2 linked regions of the Schizosaccharomyces pombe genome follow. Changing the gene in region 1 together with any one later gene gives a genetic interaction. Each region holds a gene or a part of one and is shown on either strand. Other genes may lie near its edges.

The links. Genes that interact genetically often act in the same process or in processes that back each other up.
Region 2: mutations in trs8501 (region 1) and ppr8 together harm fitness more than expected from each alone (negative genetic interaction), as found in Schizosaccharomyces pombe (one large-scale study listed by BioGRID).

Annotation. Positions count from the first base shown.
Region 1 is NC_003423.3:3,893,231-3,898,570, reverse strand, and holds trs8501 (TRAPP complex subunit Trs85), read right to left. Parts: upstream 3,341-5,340; 5' UTR 3,162-3,340; coding exon 1,185-3,161; 3' UTR 1,057-1,184; downstream 1-1,056. Other genes in the region: cmp7 (ESCRT III complex subunit), read right to left, coding at 1-153, 197-475; kinesin family plus-end directed microtubule motor Tea2, read right to left, coding at 3,484-5,340.
Region 2 is NC_003423.3:4,392,917-4,397,615, reverse strand, and holds ppr8 (PPR repeat-containing protein Ppr8), read left to right. Parts: upstream 1-2,168; 5' UTR 2,169-2,179; coding exon 2,180-2,359; intron 2,360-2,404; coding exon 2,405-3,670; 3' UTR 3,671-4,006; downstream 4,007-4,699. Other genes in the region: uap1 (UDP-N-acetylglucosamine diphosphorylase Uap1/Qri1(predicted)), read right to left, coding at 1-276; DNA-directed RNA polymerase I and III subunit Rpc40, read left to right, coding at 517-1,563. UniProt on the Schizosaccharomyces pombe protein: Mitochondrial RNA-binding protein involved in mitochondrial translation. The cox1 mRNA is one target but it is not clear if ppr8 has a single or multiple targets.

The DNA.
Region 1 (5,340 bases):
GGATGAGGCTTGATTTTGAAACCCAAGTTTCTGAAAACTCCACCGTAGAATTGAAAAAATAGAAAAACCGTCTTCTCTTACTAAATTTCCTTTTTTACAATCGTTCAAAAAGTCTTGCTTACGAAGCCAAACCCCTTGCTGGATCCAGTAAGCCTATATGCTTATTAGCTTCAAAAAAAATGCTTAATTCACGTACCGCAACAGCACCAAGGCTCAAAGGTCTACCTAAAGCAGGACTTGAAAACGCACTTTCAAAAGTCTCATCGAAAACTAAGATTATCCTAGAATTCAACTTCCCAGACCATGCGGATGTTTCAATTGCTTCTCTCCAAGTATTTACGTTTGCCAAAAATCCTTCAGGATTTTTTATAAACAGACTCGTAAAGTCAGAATACAGGCTTTTTAAACGAGTTTTTGTAAAAATTCCTTTATTAACAGAAAATTCCAAAGCATTGACTTTCTCCTTTTTTCCCATTCTGTCGTATATTCCTGAAGCTACCTGCGTGGTTTACTATATACAGTTTTCAAACAGAATTAATGGTATGAGGTGACTTGTCACTTGTACTTTTGTAATGTTACAAATTGCTAAATTTGGAGTTCTAATAAGGTGCTGATGATTTGTTTTCAAAAATTCAGACAATGAACAATTTATTCTAAAACTGATAAGATAGACAAGTTATAATAACATCAGCAATTTCGTATGAAGTTGACTAATGTAAAATCGCATATATCTAATATATGTTATATTGAGTATGATACTAAATTATAATTTTGATATAATAAATTATAATGCTAATGCTACATTTTAAATTGGAAATCCTAAGCTCCTTTATGCCAGCTCCTATTCCTTTTTCAAATCTTTCAAAATTATAGCTTACACCTCTACTCTTTGAATTTCACAGTTATTTTTTATATATACTTTTTATTTTAAAATAATTATTGACATCAGTCTAAATTCTAAAGCAACATTTCAAAAAACGTGAACAAAAAAAAAATGAAGTTTTAATTTCTAAAGTCATTAACTAGCTAATTGAATATAAATATGATACTGTAAGCGGTAATATAATTTTTCAACTTCGCATTAATCGCGCTTGAATTAATAAGCTCATAACCAAAATCGAAAGTTTAGCACCTACATAAGCAGATCTTGTACCAAAGATTGCCCAGATGACAGGATGAGTTGTCTAATGAAAAGTATTTTTCACCCGAAAGTTTTCGGAAAGCGTTGGTTTTAAGTCCAGCATATGTTCAGAAAGCGATTCCCATCCTGATTTTGAATACACACGATTAGCAAGATTCCAGCAAATCTCTGCCATTTTACAATGGCCACAGTCCCGCCAAAAGCCAGCGCTATATGCAAACCAAAAAGCAGCTTTTCTGCGGCGATTTCCATCAGTAACACCAACATGTTCCTTATTACTATACATTCCAGCTATTGTCGTATTTAAGAAAGAAGTTTCAAACGGATTGAGGGAAATAGGGCCTGGTTCCAATATCTTTGCAAGCCAGGATGCTGCAAAGTCGATACTAAACGCAGGCTTCAACGAGAGCAACAAGCTTGTAACTAGCACACTTCTAAATGTATAGTAAAAAGAGTGAAGACGAACAGCATAGATATAAACCATTTCGTCGAACCATTTGTTCAAATACGAAATTTGCGACTTCAAGCTGATATTCCGATTTTGCATTAACAGACATATTATTTGGATTTCCTCGCAAGACGCTAAATAATTCCAGGCTTTGTCTTGAGAAAATGTATTCCGAATCTCATCATAAATTTCATAAGCACGTTTGTAATCACGAAGCATAAAAGAAAAATCCGCCATTTTTCTTTTTATGCTTTCCTGCTTTTCTGAAGAATAAATAAGGGATAGTGGATCATAGTTACCTTGAGAATGGCTTGAATGATTACGAGACCAGTATTTTTTGGAGGCAAATAGAAGCCTGGTAGTTAAATTACCGTATTGAGGGGTCAGATCTTCTTCCCAGGCCCGTACGCATCTTTGCATAAAAGGATATATACTATCATACAACATTGTTTGAACAAACTTTTTCATCCCTTCCACTTCTTCTACAGGCAGTAAAGGATAAAGAGGCAAACACGATTGTTCGGATTCGGCCTGAACTTCTAATGATGATCTCCATTCTGGAATTGGAAATTTTCTTAAATTTTTAGTCACAAATGTTATCGGTTTGGCATCATCACTAGATGAACAAAAGCTTTCGCTTTCCATCGAATCTCTAGGTGCATTTTTTAATGACTGTATAGAAGACGTATCATATCTGTCAGTATCTAAAGGTTTCGCTGATATGTAATTCGACCTTAATCTAATAAAATGAGAGTTTGCGCCAAGACTTCTCCGCATTTGCTGAAAAATTTGCTTCGAATTTGAAAGATCGTTGTTATCTTCATCATGTATAAACAAATAGTAATGTAAAATTTCTTTAGAAATAAAATTAGGAAAGGGCGCATTGTTAATTTCTTTGAATAAACGCATAACAGTTGCCATAGGATTGGTATTATGAGACGTTATAACAATTAGACAACCCACAGGATGAGAAAAAGTTTCATGTTCAGCTACCGGGTTACCAGAAAGTAGAAGTTTGAGATAATCCAGAATGGGATTTAAAAATCCATTTTCGGGGTAATTATTGCTGCCCGATTGAACCCACTCTTCTATGAGCTTCTGACTCAAGACTCTGAAACTATCAATGTCACCGCCAGGAGCAAATCTAGAATTTGCGCAATTTTCTAATCCGTTTTCGGTATTCCAGGCTTTATTTCGCTTCCACTGCCGAGGAACTTGTACTGCTTCCATAGGAACAAAGCGAATTGAGTCATGATCATTATCAAAAATCCTAGAATCCAAAGTTTCCTTTGAAATGGCAGAATTGTTTGTCGAGCTCTGAAAAATGCGATCTCCGAACGGTCGAATAAAAGATGCAAAATCGTCAAATCCTTTACGCTTCATGAAATTTTCTGTGTCATCAGATGCCATAATAAATATGTGCGGACAATATGTGTCACTGATCAGCTGTCGAAGCTTTAGCCCAAACGCATTGTTGCTCACCGATGACGGTGTTACATGAAGAGAACTTTGAGATGCATTAGGAGCAATTTCAGAAAGGCTCCTGGTTATAAAATTTGTTGCAATGTCCATAAGGATGTGTTAACGGTATAGAGGATAAAAATTCCAAACGTAGTATATGATTGTAGCAGGTCGTCGCAAATTTAATAAAATTTTGCATAGAGAAGCCAACCTATGCAAATTAAGGATTTATTACAATGTGTCATTACAAATTATTGGAAAAAATCCCCGAAAATTCCAAAATATTATGCAAAAGAAAGAGATGCAACTGCGAACCGGCCTGTTTAGTAAAGAAACATCGTATCGTTAAAGTAATTTAAGGAGACATACAGGTTGAATGGGTATAAAATTGTAAACAAGGTTGATGAGAAGACGCCTATAATTAAACAAGGTATCAAGAAAGAAGTTGCGTTTCCTGAGTCACAGAATCCTTTTTCGATTGCTGTTGATCGTCTGGCAAAATTTCAGTTTTAGTTTCATTACTGAACTGATCAGAGGAGCTTCTGCTTCCCCTAGTAACATTTTTCTTTAAGATTTTGTGAGGGAATTTAGCAAGCGATTGATTGAAATCGGCAATATCCCGTTGCTTCTGAGCATATCGAAGAGCATAAATAATTTGTTCTTTATCTTGTAATTCATCTCTTAGATCTGCAATTTCGAAATTATGGTCAGAAAGCAATTCCTCCATTCGTAAACGAGCTCTACTTATAGCAGTTCCTTGCGAACGCTCTGCCTCTAACATGGCAATGTATGTATCTCGTTCCTCTAAGTCCGAAGTCAATTGCTTCACCAAAGAAGCATAATATTCAACTTCTTGGGCATTCTTTTCAAGGGCAGAGTGTAAAGATGCTAATTCAGCTTGAACATTAGTCACAGCTTCCGCTTGGCGAATATCTTGAGGCAAATTTTGAGCTCTAGATGCAAATTTAAGCGTGTTAGTAGTCTCCATCGTATGGTTGGATTCTATGCTTATCGTTGCTAAAAGTGATATTTGTGATTGGCCGGATAAAGATTGCTGCAACAGACGAGTTAACTTAGACTCACGATACGGTATATGTCCTGAATTTGAGGTAAGTGAAGGATTTGCAGCTGCTGACAACCTAGAAATAACAGTTCCTAATGTTAAAAGAGATTTGTTGATAAATGCTCCTTCTTTGCGTCTTTCATGGTGAGCTGAAGCTCTTTCACTTCCAGCGAGATCCACCAAGCTGAGACTCGAAATTTGTGAAGTGTGAGCAGTAGGATTATTTCGAATAAGAAAAACCTGAAGAATTGCATGCGAACGAGAACTATACGTATTGAAATCGGTTGCTGCTGTTTTTCGGATTGCATTGCACTGTTCAATAACCTGACTAACCTCTTCGGGGCTAGTGACGAGAACTCGAGTTAATGGTGTAACATTGACTTCTCCAGATGCATTTTCGCGTATTCTTGGCTCTTCGTCCGAGTTTCCGATTAAGTCTCGTATTCTCTCATTATAAATTTCTAAATAGGATATACGGATTTGAAAGGTATCGTCATCAGAATTGTTTTCAACCATTTCAAATAAATCATTCATGGCAAGTGGAATAATACCAGGTTCGTTTTCCGTACCTTGCATAGAATATGTTTTTCCTGTGCCGGTCATTCCATAAGCAAACACTATTCCATTATATCCGGAAAAAACATTACGGACAACCGACTTAACAGAACGTTTGTATATATCGTAATTTTTAGATTCCATCCCAAAAACATTATTAAAAAGATATTCTTGCTGAATTGTGGACGAGCTTGTACTTGTTTGCTGGCGAATGTATTCACGACCATATGGGTCATTGCTTAACTTGCCATGTGACCATACACCTTGGTTTTTACCAATAGGTCGAATACGTATACTTGTGATAATTCCTGAACCAACAAAGTTGCTCTCTTTTAAACCTTTAGAATTGGTTTGTTGACTTGTTGTAGATTCATAATTAACATACTCATTTTTTAAATAATCCAAGTCCTTCGACGGATACAAGGCAGGACGCGTGTATCTATCTAAAGTTCCAGGAGACATCAATTTCTCTGTAACTCCCAAATCAAATGCTGTAGGCCCATTTACATTTGTTTGAGTGCTATTGCTTCGTAGCATAGGTATGGAATAGTTCGAAAAATTTCGGGACAATGGTGACGTTGGGGAATATGGAATACTCCCTGTTCCACTCTGAGATGGACCAGTCCGTATGCCAGTCATTGTAGAATAGCGGCGAGGTGTAACCAACCCAGT
Region 2 (4,699 bases), 500 kb from region 1:
TTCCCGAAGACCTGTTCTCCACCAACTTGAGTCAGACGTATCTACAATAGATAGTGGACCAACTTCTGAAGGGGACAATTTTCTGTTCTCTTGGCTTGTCGCTTTAGCATTTCGATACTTCAACCACAATGACCGTAAGTCCAATTGCTGAACTTGATTTAAAAGTTTCCTAAACTTTTGCAGGTCATTCTTTTTTAAATAATTCAATTGATCATACAAATGTAACTGATTAGTTTCTTCAAATATAGACCGATCAAACAATTCTTTGTCGTCCATTTCGTATTTAGCGTTATAAATACAGTCTAAAAAAAAAAAATGAATGTTTGGCAAACTTGAATCGCTAAAAAAATGCTATTTACGCTTCTTCAAGTGCTCTACTACTATTGTCAGTTAATTTGCAATGTCTTACTTTTATTCGCACTATCGTGTTTACCACACAATAGCGAATTTTTACGCATATAAAGGTTTTAAAAGTTTATATTGCAACTTCTCACCGTTTTTTTCATAAAATTAAAAATGGCAGCGGTTGACAGATCAAGGACAGAAATCTCTGTCCTTTCTGATCGTGTTACAGATGTAGGAAGTGTAGATTTTCCAGGTTATTATTTTGATGAAGACAACATCTGGGATCTTGATAAATTTAAAAAAAATTTAAAAGTTTCGATTACGTCTCTCGATCAAGAAACAATGGTATTTGAAATTTCTGGAATTGATGCATCCATTGCAAATGCATTTAGGAGGATTTTAATCGCCGAGATCCCAACTCTTGCATTTGAGTTCGTGTATATCATAAACAATACGAGCATAATACAAGATGAGGTTTTGTCTCACAGAATAGGTCTTGTACCTATATCTGCTGATCCTGACATGTTTAAATGGTTTCAACATCCTCTGCCAGGACAAGAGGCAACTCATACTGATTACGATACTGTTGTCTTTTCCCTTAATAAGAAATGCGAGTTTAATAAGAATGCCGCTACAGATGAAAAAGATCCAAAGAGACTTTACGTTAACTCTGAGGTTTATTCGGGTGATCTAATTTGGAAACCGCAAGGTCGACAGGAAGAGCGATTTGCTGACAATCCTATACGAGTAGTCAACCCAGATATTGTTGTTGCAAAATTGCGTCCTGGCCAGGAAATCGATTTAGAAGCTCATGCAATCTTAGGTATTGGACAAGACCATGCTAAGTTTTCTCCTGTTGCTACTGCCTCCTACCGCTTATTGCCTACTATACATATCTTGTCTCCTATTGAAGGTGAAGATGCAGTTAAATTTCAAAAATGCTTCCCTAAAGGAGTCATCGAGCTTGAAGAAGGACCTGATGGTAAAAAACAAGCCCGTGTAGCAGACGTTCGAAAAGACACCGTATCCCGCGAATGCTTGAGACATCCCGAATTTGCAGATAAGGTGCAATTAGGCCGCGTACGCGATCATTATTTGTTTTCTGTTGAAAGCACCGGTATTATGAAGCCCGATGTCTTGTTCATTAAAAGCATTGCAGTCCTAAAATCGAAATGTCTAGCCGTAAAGTCTAGTCTTCAGAATATTTCTTCTGACTGAATGTCTGTTAAATTAGTTTTATATGTAATCTTTTGGATAATTGGGTACGCTGTTAAAAAATATACTTTTGAAAGTTATTGATTTCTATATTTCAATATTAACATTTTGTCCTTTCTTTAATTTTAAATTTAATTCATCATAGACATGTATTTTGTTGATAACCAGTAGACCTTTTAAAAAGAAGTGTTGGTTTTCAATCACTACTTGCCATCCTTTGAAAGTCCTTATAAAATGCTTTGAGAATTTATATGAAAGCGACGCCTTTAATTGATGCAACTGAAAAAATTACTTTTCATTATATTTTTACAGGGATTTTGAAGTCCTATCTATTAAATTACCTAAATTAAACTAGACTGATTGTATAAATTTTAAAAATATTGTAAATGCCGGTTTTAACTAATTTGCAAAGAATGTGCCTAAGCATGCAGCAGAGTCTTAGTTAAGTTGCTTTGTTACTACATGATTGAACTATTATAGGAAAAGAAAAATAAAATAGAATCAGTTCTAACATATTCAGGAAACGCCATTTTGCTGATCTTTTCTAGATCAATCCTGACTGAGTAGAGAGTAGCCACAACATGACTCAGCAACAACAAACTTACCCCAAGCGTATACCATGCAAGGATTTGGGAGCCAAATTTTTCGGAAATTGCTGCGTAGTAGTAATGCTAAAGTGTCAGATGCACTTTTACAAAATACGCGTACCCTTTTCACCGCTCCGCCTTTACATTCTGGGTTACAAACTTCATTCACCGCTGAAACTCAACAACATGTAAGGCAGAATTCTCAAAATTTGGTATGTAAAGGCTGATGTTTCCACCTTTTTCTAACAGGTAAATAGCTGAAACAATTAAATGATGAAATGAAGGCGCGCAAGTATACGGAAACCGTTGCTACTTTCAGCAGCCTGAAACCATTTGGCATTTTAGATAGTCAAACCATTAATAGATACATTTTGTTTTTGGTAGATCGGATTAAAATGCTCAATGGGAGAGGTAATGTAGATGAAGCTACTCTCGACAAACTTGATGATATACTTCGATATGCAATTGAACACCAAGAGATTGCCTCTGCTAGGTTTTGGCGAATTATGCTCCAATCATATATCGACCTAAACCTTTTTGACAAGGCTTCATTAATTGCTGATATGAGCTTAAGCCATATGGAGTTTTTACCTAAAGATGAACGAGTTTTAGGCAACCTCTACATCTCAGCACTTCAAGCTAAGATACTTGGAGGTGCCAGTTTTGAACAGTGTGGAAAAATAGGTTCAGCCATTCACGAGCAACTTGAAGGGAAAGAAGTTGTAAATGAATTGGTTGCTGTGTATTTGATTTATACTGTTTTCAAAGATCAAGGTATTAGCAGTAAAGCTCATAAAGCTTTAGTTCAATTTAACGGACTAACAAGTTTTCACTCCGATGTCATTATTTCAGTGTTTGTCAACAAAGGTCTCGTCGATCAAGCTGCTGCTTATCTGAAAAATTCTAATCTTAACGAAAGAAATCTACCAACGATCTATACAACCGTTTGGTTACTTCAAAGACTTTTTGAAGCACACCATTCTCTAGATCCTTTGCTAACTATTTTCGATTATTATCTTTCAGTGTCACCCAAAGATATCACTCGTTTGACAAATGCTATTTTAAGTCTTTCAATGAAGCAATTTGAACGAGATCGGGATATTAAAAAGGCTACCGACTTTATCACTACGTTTATCAACAAGATGTCAGATGTAAAGGAGTTCAAACCATCCATTAGTACTGCCAACACCTTGTTCTCTATTGCTAGTCGTTTAAAGGATGTAAAATGGCTTTCTGCTGGATTTGATATGATAGACAAGTACGGGTTAAAGCCTACTCATGTCACTTATCGGTCATTATTGAAAGCATACTGTTTATTGCCAAGCACATGTGAGCAAATTTCGCAGGCTTGGGTAAATCTTGAGTATCGTCTTGAAGCTATTTCCATTTCTGTTGCAGATAAAGAAATAAATCTCCTAAAGGACTGCATTCTATCTCAACCTGACAGAGATGATCAACAAAGTTGCCTGCAATTTCTGAATATGGTGCTATCAAAATACGGTAAACATATACGTTCGCCATAAATTTTTTTGCACTTTGGATAATCTCATATAGTTCTTCCTTTTAACGAGATTACGATTAAATGTGTACATCACAGCCATATTACCTGCATGCATTAAAGTTCAAAAGTGTTCACTCCCATCTTTTAATATGTCCCACACTTTCACAAATTGAGTTATTTATTTTATTTAGGAACGTTTCGGTGGTGATTTTTGATTTTCGTTTTATGAAGTTACCTGGATGGGTTTAATTGTTTACCTCTTTGATATTTGTTAATTTTCCTTAACGTACATACTCCTTTCTGTTTTTTGCTATAGCCATCTTTTATATTAAATATATATTTTTTTATTCCAGATACAGGTTTTGTGTTCGTCTTAATAGTTTAGCATCTAAAAACACCTGTTTATTCTCAAGAGATATGGATAGTTTGAAATACTTAGAAGCTTTGCCTGGTTTATGACAAGTACGAAAAGTAAGGGATTTAAACCGCGCTAAGTTATGCTGTTAAAGACAGCTTTAAACGAATATTAGAGGATATTTTTCCCGGTATTTGTAGGTATGTCTTGCTAGTGGAAAATTTGTAAGTTAAATTATTATCACTATATTTTAATGCTTTATATGCACTCAAACAGCTGGGGTCGGTGTATGTCATTGTATTAATGTGAGACCAAAGTGCTTTATTGTACTCTATGAATCACAAATTTTGCTTTACATTAAAGTATTAGTTTAAATTTTAACTGCTTATCTCGCAAAAAATACGCTGCCTAGAAAATATACTAAGTTTAAAATAGTAATTCATTTAGGTATGGTGGTTGTTAAAAAGAGCATATAAATAGAAAAATTTGATGTTTTGAAAGTAATGTCTATAAAACATAAATGAGTTATGTTTAGCAATGCTTATATTTGCAAGGATGCTGTATACGCCGTAACAGCATTATTAGATGCACTTGTTAAATTCAGTGCTGCTCGAACGTACTATCATGTAATATTGTAAGATTCAAATGGTTTCTGCTATCTGTTTACTTACAGTTCTTGATCATATGCCTAAAAAT